3 linked regions of the Saccharomyces cerevisiae S288C genome follow. Changing the gene in region 1 together with any one later gene gives a genetic interaction. Each region holds a gene or a part of one and is shown on either strand. Other genes may lie near its edges.

Region 1 (3,148 bases):
CATAGGTGGCCGCAAACTAGGATAATTGACAACTTAGTTTCATATTGACAATGTCATCGCAATTGAGGAGATAGCCATAATTCGGGAGGGTACAAAACCTGACCTGCTAGTGTTCAACTAATGCATCATGGGTACTATAGAGAGCATTCTAGTGGTAGAAAAAAAAAAAAAAACAAACTTTAAACCGGGTAATATAAACTTCTCATATGGCTTTTCTCCAGGGAAAGAAAGGGAAGGGATACTTCAATGACGAAGGCTTAGATGACAAGCTAATACAGAAAGGGAAAGGAGCAGGGCATCGGAAGGAAATGTTGCATTTGGAAGATGACAATGGACGACAAAGGTCAGTGATAGCGAATTTGCAGAAATTCGTTTATTGCTGCCTGTACTTGAGGTTTATCAAAGATGGATCATTATTCTTGATCCTCCTGGGGTGGATAATTTCATCGCTCTGTGATTTCATTCAGGAATTGACACTCAGGTACCTGAAGAAGAACTATTTAGAGGTGGGCCGCGACAATGATCAGGAAGATGATGAAAGTCTTGCCATCAGAGGGTTAGAAACACCTATTGTAAGAATGATAATAAACAAAGCCATACGATATTACCAAGGCCTAATACTTCTAGAAACAGCGTACTGTATAGTATACCACATTAGGCTAGACGTATCGAGAGACATATGTTCCAAACCGTACGGATTTGTGATAATGCTTTTGATAAGGGAATTTACTTGTCCGGTACCCACAGCGTTTCCTAGCAAGCTACTTCTGGTACTACTCGATATTTTATTACTTTTCTGCCAGATTGTAATAATAAACGGCTCACTGAGCTCGAGTCTTCAGAACGTGAAACTTATTGTCAAGGAGTTGAATGCAGAAGAAGAGGGCGCACTCAACATTCTCAAACTTAATACCTGGCACATGGATGCAACCGGACCGGAACTCATAGTACTCAAGAATCATGACAAGTCGATTCCTCAACAGGCAGACGGGGATGACGCTACAGAGATCACTCCTCTACTGAATATCGCCGAATAAATTCAAGAAAGGAAAAGAAAAAAAATTACCAAAATGAAAAGAACGGAAAAAAAAGATGAACAGAAAATAAAACAATACGTGGTTCTTCTACTGTCCTTCCCACATCGCCGACAGAGAAAAGACAAGCAAAAAGATGGGCAAGAAAGCACACGGAGGAAAGATGAAACCTGAGATCGACGAAAATGGTACTCTGCTAGTACCGCCACCAAGGACGATTGCGAACCAGGACCATTTCCATAGATTAAACTACCTCTACCAAATATCCGCTTACCAAACAAGAGCAAGACAGAAAGCAAGAACAGACGCACATACGCCTTTGGCACGCAATTATATCAAATCAATGGACCTAATTAGTAAGAAAACCAAGACATCACTGCTTCCTACGATAAAGAGAACAATTTGTAAAAAATGCCATCGGTTGTTATGGACCCCAAAAAAACTGGAAATCACATCCGACGGAGCGCTTTCGGTAATGTGTGGGTGCGGTACCGTTAAACGTTTTAATATTGGCGCCGATCCTAATTACAGGACCTACTCGGAGCGGGAGGGTAATCTACTAAATTCTTAGGGTTATTGGTAGGGTTTTGGACCAATGTTTTGAGCAGGACAAAAATGCGGAGTTTCCAGATTTTCTTTAAGAGCCGACCCCCCACCCCCTTGCCCCTATACATGGGGTACGTGCCTGTATTTTGAGGGAAAACTACGACATAAAACACAGGGAAAAAAACGAGACGCCCGTTTGAAGAAGGTAATGTAGGATTCCGTCTTGCCAGCATAGCGGATAAACACCGCAAGGAGGTGTTGTGGTCGGTAATGAGTGGCACGAGGTGTTTGCTAGGCGTCGGACTACCAGTTGATGTGACTGCTACGGAAACTTTGACTCATGATGAACAAGGACCAGGTGTAGAGCCAGGACCGTGTTCGCGAGGAAGTTCTATAGATGGTCTGCTGCCCTCGTTGCTCGGTCCACATGATGATGTGGATGACGATTCGGCGGCTTTTCACAAGTACATGACACTATCGCGAGATGGCGCAGGCGCCATCCATGCTCCGTCATTAGTCGAAGACGCCTCAAGGAACGACGACGACGACGATGATGAAGACGACGACGACAGTTCCATGTCGCGAGACCTATCCAAGGCTCTAGATATGTCATCGTCATCATCGTCCAGCCCGCGCGTTCAAAGTCGGCGGCACCGTAGTTCTGTGAGCGCAATATCTGCAATCTTACACCAAGGAAAATCTGGCCGCGAAGACATAACTGGAAGCCTTAGCGTTCCGGCAGAACAAGAAAAACTCAGTTTTCTTGCCAAAGCCTCGAGTATTTTCTTTCGAAGGAACAGTATGCCCAGAGACAAACATACGCATTCAGTATGTCCCGCTAGCCGCCCAGATTCCGAGAGATTTATCGTCACATCTGCAGCCGCGCAGTCTTTACGCCGCCAACAACAACTGGAAGACGCTCAGTACGCTCGAGTTATTACAAACTTTCGTACTATAGGATGGTGCTCTCCCAGCGAGATAGAGTCTGTGGAATATAAACGGTCCTTGATCAATGCGGAGTGGGACGAAAAGATCTCGCTTTTGTCTCACGCGCAATGCTATAAATAATAAATATACATATATATATATTTATATGTAGATAGATGTGTGTATATATATGCTAGGTAAAGAAACGGAAAAATCGAAAAATCGAAGTTGGAGAGGAAAAACAAGACATCAGGCCCGCACGTTTCGCGGGCTACCTGCCCATGTTCCGTCTCTTAATGTCATTCAACAATTTCAAAGACTTAATCTCGTTAATGTCATTGAGCTTTGCTTTCCAAAACTCATTTTCCTTGTTCAATTGCTCTATACGATCGCGAAGTTTGTTGATTTGCGTGTTTAAGTTCTGCAGCTTATTCATGTTCTCAAAATTCTTTTGTTTCTTGCGAATGCGGAACCGCTGCGACGCCTCTGTGTTCTTTCTTCTCCGCTCTTGCTTAATCTTATCCAGTTCGTTAGAAGTGCTCACGGGAGCTTCCTCTTCTTTTACAACAACTGCTGTTGTTGCGGCAACCTTCCCCTTTCTCGGCTCGCGGAGCTTCTTAAACTGCGAGACATCCTGGCCA
Region 2 (3,090 bases), on another chromosome or scaffold:
ATTTTAACAAAATCGGAGCAAACAATATCTAGAGCCTCGTGTAAGTGTGTAGTATCTGCAGTAGCAGCCGTGTTGTTGCTGGGTGTATCCACCAAATCGGACGCTTTCTTGACCTCATTTATATTTGCAGTTGTTGTTGTATCTTCTTCTTCCTCTTGAATCAAAGACGGGAACTTTTCATTAAAGAATTCCTTGTAAAGGTTCGAAAATTCCATGGAGGTCAATTGCCGCTCAGCACATTTTAGTGCTAAGTTGTATACTGATTCTTTTTCCATGGCAATTCAAGGTCATATACTAGCCACGAATAGCTTTGTTGAGGTGGTTTAGCTTACTCATATTTGTAGATTACTGTTTCAATTAGCTGCCAATATATTAGTGCTACTAAAAATGCCTTTCAAAAGCAAATGTTCCGGGTAACAATCAGATTGAATGTCCATAGTATCTAGGACAGTTACAATTACAATTTCCGTTAAAAAACTAATTACTTACATAGAATTGCGCTATGGGATGGAGTCTTCGACCTGTCCATTTTGCCAGTCAGGGACACTGATCTCATTGGCGGCGGTATTTTTTTGCCATTCTGGAATGGAGGCGTTGCTATCAATAGTTTGTTCTCTTGCTTTTTTCCACGCTGGAACAGCATTGTCATCTTTATTAGCATCGCTGCCGTTTTCCTTTTCTTTATCACTTTCTTCTTGCATGCCCATTTTGGCAAGAATCTCAGACGCAGATGGAATCGTATCTATGCCAGGTATACCATTAGGAGATATGGAAAATAATCTGTTGTCCTGCGCATTACCGGATTCCATACGGTTATTCATTAAGCTTTTCAGAGATTCCATTTCTTTTTGGATATTATTTAACTCTTGCATGCCGTCATTATCTGAAACAAATTTGTCGATCGTATTTTGCATATTGACCACCTCGAGTTTAACTATTCTAAACTCGTCTTCGATCTTTTCCCTGCTTCTTGTTGTCTGCACAAGCGCCTGTTTCAGTTCAGCAATCGTGTCACTAAGTTCCTTTAATGTTTCGCTTTCCTTTTTCCTAAACTCAGCTTGCTCCGCTTCGATGGCATTGAGGACTGTATCGATTTTGGAGAACTGATCATCAATTTCTTTTTTGTCCCCTTCCAACTTGCTTTTTGCTTCTGGTAAAATATTTGGTATCACATACCTTCTAGTTACTTCATATGCACCATACAACAGCCCAGCTGTGGCAGTAGCCATCACAAAATAGTCCTTCCAATCCCTGTGGGGCAGCGTTGGTGGCATCGCTTCATAGAGATACATATCCTGTGAGGCTCTATTCTCAGTACTACCAATTTTTTTCGATACTTCATCGCCTACGATACCGTCTTTCTTGGGCTCTTTCATGGCTATTTCAATCTCCTTTTCTGTTAACCCTTTGGATTTTAAAAATTCGATTTTCTTTAAAAGTGGAGCATCTTTAATGGACTCATCCTTTAAAAAGGATACTGCTGAGTCGAACAATGCCTTACGATCTTTACTGACCACGTCACTCATTCCTTATTCACCTTACAACTTCTCTGTTTTACTTGAGTTTTCAAATTGATGGGCAATTTCTTATATTTTTAAGCATTGAATATATGTTTTACAATTATCTTTCGGGCGCTTATTAAAACCGCTATGACTAAAATGAGAATGAGGAGAAAGAGAATCACTCAGCAAAAAAACCGTGGATGGTTAAAACGACTGAAGTAGTAAGCGAAGTTTCAAAGGTGGCAGGTGTAAGACCATGGGCAGGTATATTCGTTGTTGAAATTCAAGAGGATATACTCGCGGATGAGTTTACGTTCGAGGCATTAATGAGAACTTTGCCATTGGCGTCTCAAGCCAGAATCCTCAATAAAAAATCGTTTCACGATAGATGTTCAAATCTATGCAGCCAGCTGCTGCAGTTGTTTGGCTGCTCTATAGTAACGGGCTTAAATTTTCAAGAGCTGAAATTTGACAAGGGCAGCTTCGGTAAGCCATTCTTAGACAACAATCGTTTTCTTCCATTTAGCATGACCATCGGTGAACAATATGTAGCTATGTTCCTCGTAAAATGTGTAAGTACAGATGAATACCAGGATGTCGGAATTGATATCGCTTCTCCGTGCAATTATGGCGGGAGGGAAGAGTTGGAGCTATTTAAAGAAGTTTTTAGTGAAAGAGAATTTAACGGTTTACTGAAAGCGTCTGATCCATGCACAATATTTACTTACTTATGGTCCTTGAAGGAGTCGTATACAAAATTTACTGGAACTGGCCTTAACACAGACTTGTCACTAATAGATTTTGGCGCTATCAGCTTTTTTCCGGCTGAGGGAGCTTCTATGTGCATAACTCTGGATGAAGTTCCATTGATTTTCCATTCTCAATGGTTCAATAACGAAATTGTCACTATCTGTATGCCAAAGTCCATCAGTGATAAAATCAACACGAACAGACCAAAATTATATAATATCAGCTTATCTACGTTGATTGATTATTTCATCGAAAATGATGGTTTATAATGCCAATTTTTTTTTTTCGCTTGCTCACATTTATGTAATCGATAGACTCTTATTACTGTTTGAACTTCAAAAACAGCACCTTTTACTAAAATCATTAAATATTTCTTGAGGTATGCATAATTCTCCATTAAATTTCCCCTCAATTAATGCTAACGCAGCGCTCCCTAGACAGCTGTGATATAAATCAGCATCTTCTTCGTCATTTTTACTAAAGCCTCCAGTTAATGTTTTTTGCGTTCGATCAAGCAAATAATTTGTGACTAGTTCAGTTTGGCATAGCATTTTCCAATCCTTTGTTAGTAAGTGTAGTGAATTTAAGCACCAAAATGCGTAACACGTATCAGCGAACTTGTTCTCCCTTCCCTGGAAACCGCCATCATCAGATTGATCATAGCTGGCATTCAATTCGCTTTCAAATTTCATACATCCATGGCTTGATACTTGCCTATGTAATAGCCAGGTTATGGTGTCTTCTTTAAACTTGTCTGATAGCTTTTCCAAACTAGAGAGTAAAGCTAAGGTAGACAGCGCACAAGATGTGTACCCTGAGTGTGGTTCATTGTGGGCAC
Region 3 (2,830 bases), on another chromosome or scaffold:
TGTTAAATTGACTGATGGCCATCAAAATACATGCTAAACTAACATATGGACTGGCCCTTTCACCAACACGTGCCATTTTCCAGAAGGCCCCCAAAACCTCATGATTTTTGTAACGATCTAGGAGAGACGGCCACTGCCCATGAACATAAGAACATGAACAAATCAGTAACAATATCACTTGCAGAAGAGAACGAAAATTAAATAATGCAGACATATTCTGTCGTGGAAAAAGGACGCAACTTTGCAAAGTAAATCGATCCGGCTCTCTAGTTATTTTGCAAACGATGTTTACCGCTGTTCTGTCTTTATCCTTGAGTTGTCGTTGCTCACTCTATTGAAGATCAAAATTTCGCTCAAGAAGAGCAGTCCCACCATGCGTACACCACACTACAAAAATGAATGTTATATCGTTTTTTCATGAATTACAAATGTCTATCGAAAAGTTCATTACTAAATATAATAAGATCAGGATCATTAAGAGATAAATTCACTGTGTCAGGTTACTTCCTGATAAGCTGAAACAAGTGGGTTCTTTCCTTAAGATAATGTTCAAATTTACTAAAATCTGTAATTTCAAGAACGTCAAAATTTCTTTTAATCTTGTTGAAAAAATGTTTATCAGCTTTTCTTCTCTTCTTGTAAGCCATCAAGATTACAGGTGGGTTTATGCAGTGAGTGAGATCAAGTAGTGTTTTTTCTAGTAATGGAAAAGCTTCCTCGAGATACACACAATCAGCTGCCAAAACTAGATCAACGTTATTTGCTTGCATAGCACCTTCTTGAGGTGAGAAATCTGCCGACAGCGGCTCACCCCACCAAAGTTCCCTCGCAAGAACTTCATACTGAACTTCGTCCAGTTCTATATTTCTTTTCAATAGTGGTATCAACTTGTCAATGTCCGTAACATATACTTTAGTGCCATCGTGGAATGTGTTTTTTTCCAACAACCCCACGCACAATCCAACTAAACCTGTACCACTACCCAATTCTAAGACTTTTTTAAATTGTTTCGTACCATTGACCGTCTTACTTAGCAGATGGTCAACTGATTTCTCGAGTATGTACTCGCACAACAGTTCGCCAGCGATCCAGACTTTACCGCCACAACCACTTTCACCGCCATCTTCACAAATTTTCAATGCAGGCAATAATTTTCCACCGAAGGAAAGGTCTGTTTGACCGAGATGCTCCTTTGGCCTAGGAACAACTAGATCTCCAAACCCACCAAATATACTCTCCATACTCAATACCTCACTAGTCGCGTTTTTATAACGTTCTAGGGAAAATTATGGGCCATTTTTTTACATAGAGCCTGCTCATCATAACTTTTGAATTATTTAAATACGAAGAATTACTTTCAGTGTTTGGGTGTGAGGGACTTTTCGTTTGGTCAAGCCAAAAAAGCTTAAGAGAAAAGAAAAATCTCTTCTGGTTTTACTTGACTAGGTTTCCAAATTATAATATCCGTATTATTAACGTGACACTCAGTATTCTCCATTCGTTTACGGGAACGTTGATATGTAAACATATGCAGATCCTCGTATTTTAGCAACGACAGGGAGAAACAAGAAATGAGATAGGATGAAAAAAAATAAAAGTTAGATATTTCTATTTAATTAGAATTCCGCGTAATAAATAATGACACGCTATTATAGTTCATGTATTATTATCCATTACAGGACTATCCTCTTGAATTACGGGCGTATCCAACCTTCTTTCAAGTTCTTCTTCAGTTGAACACAACGAAATGGAATCGGCCAAAAATGCCTCTTTGGCCATAAAATCGAAGTGTCCAACCAAAAGCTCCATGTCACGTTCGGTATTCACGGATGCTGTTTCGTAATTTTCAGGATACACTAGTGCTGTTTTGCCATCATCAAGGATTAGGTATTGAGGATTCACTACTAACGTATGCTTGAGATGTGGTTCAAAAAATCTCCTTAGATCTTCGGCAGTATTTCCAGCAACCAAATTTTGAACCAAAAAACCATTTTTCTTAGCCACCTCTACTTTAGGTTCCGTATCTTGAACCTCGAAGTTGATTAGTTTAGCTGTGGTGCGAGCTTGAAATTCTTGTGCTTTCCTTTCCTTCTGCAATTGTTTAAATGATTCATATAGTGGGTAAGCTTCTGCTAATGATAAGACTGGTTTATTGCTTGCGCCATTATCTTCTTTCTTAATAAATACAGATCTCATGGGCTCTCTGTCCTGAGACTCGGAATATAGGCCGTAAGCTTTGGCTAGTTCACGGATGAAGTGGCGTTGAGGAGGCCTCATAGGTTTGAAATGCAAGCTTGAACGTGTTTTATCGTCCATTAATTTATTAAGAATAGCTTCAATTTGTGAACACCATCTTTCTTGCTTTGAATATACTGATAATGCTGCCTCTGTAAACGGTAACTGCAGTTCTTCAAATGTTGTAGCAACAGAGACCAGTTTTTTTAACGCATCTAGTTCATTACTTGTAAAATTATTGGTTTCTTCCTTAATTCCAAATGCCTCCTTCAATTCCTTTAGTCGTTTCAAAGCTTCACATTCTTCATTGCAATCCAGCACGGAAGATTCAGTTACACTTACTCTATCACTTTTTGCGCCACAAGTAACACTTTTTTTGATCCTTCCACATTTACAATAAATTTTCACTAGCGTGGCACAAGGTAAATCGGGACACTCTGTCTTACCATGGCACGGTTTAGGACATTCATGATTACAATTGAGCCTTTTTTGCCCACAGGTCTGTTTACACACCTTTTGGCAATTTCCTGGTAAATGACATGTTTTTTGGCAGGTATGATAACAGTAAGAGAGTGGTATCCCACATTTTATTCCA

What was found. Genes that interact genetically often act in the same process or in processes that back each other up.
Region 2: mutations in YIR016W (region 1) and PEX14 together harm fitness more than expected from each alone (negative genetic interaction), as found in Saccharomyces cerevisiae (2 studies listed by BioGRID).
Region 3: mutations in YIR016W (region 1) and EFM6 together harm fitness more than expected from each alone (negative genetic interaction), as found in Saccharomyces cerevisiae (2 studies listed by BioGRID).

What each region holds. Positions count from the first base shown.
Region 1 is NC_001141.2:380,778-383,925, forward strand, and holds YIR016W (uncharacterized protein), read left to right. Parts: upstream 1-1,850; coding exon 1,851-2,648; downstream 2,649-3,148. Other genes in the region: VLD1 (Vld1p), read left to right, coding at 309-1,037; ribonuclease P protein subunit RPR2, read left to right, coding at 1,171-1,605; MET28 (Met28p), read right to left, coding at 2,779-3,148.
Region 2 is NC_001139.9:214,709-217,798, reverse strand, and holds PEX14 (Pex14p), read right to left. Parts: upstream 1,527-3,090; coding exon 501-1,526; downstream 1-500. Other genes in the region: NUT1 (Nut1p), read right to left, coding at 1-275; LYS5 (holo-[acyl-carrier-protein] synthase), read left to right, coding at 1,703-2,521; protein geranylgeranyltransferase type I subunit CDC43, read right to left, coding at 2,588-3,090. UniProt on the Saccharomyces cerevisiae protein: Component of the PEX13-PEX14 docking complex, a translocon channel that specifically mediates the import of peroxisomal cargo proteins bound to PEX5 or PEX21 receptors.
Region 3 is NC_001146.8:586,607-589,436, forward strand, and holds EFM6 (putative protein-lysine N-methyltransferase), read right to left. Parts: upstream 1,242-2,830; coding exon 501-1,241; downstream 1-500. Other genes in the region: KSH1 (Ksh1p), read right to left, coding at 1-214; FAP1 (Fap1p), read right to left, coding at 1,657-2,830. UniProt on the Saccharomyces cerevisiae protein: S-adenosyl-L-methionine-dependent protein-lysine N-methyltransferase that methylates elongation factor 1-alpha (TEF1 and TEF2) at 'Lys-390'.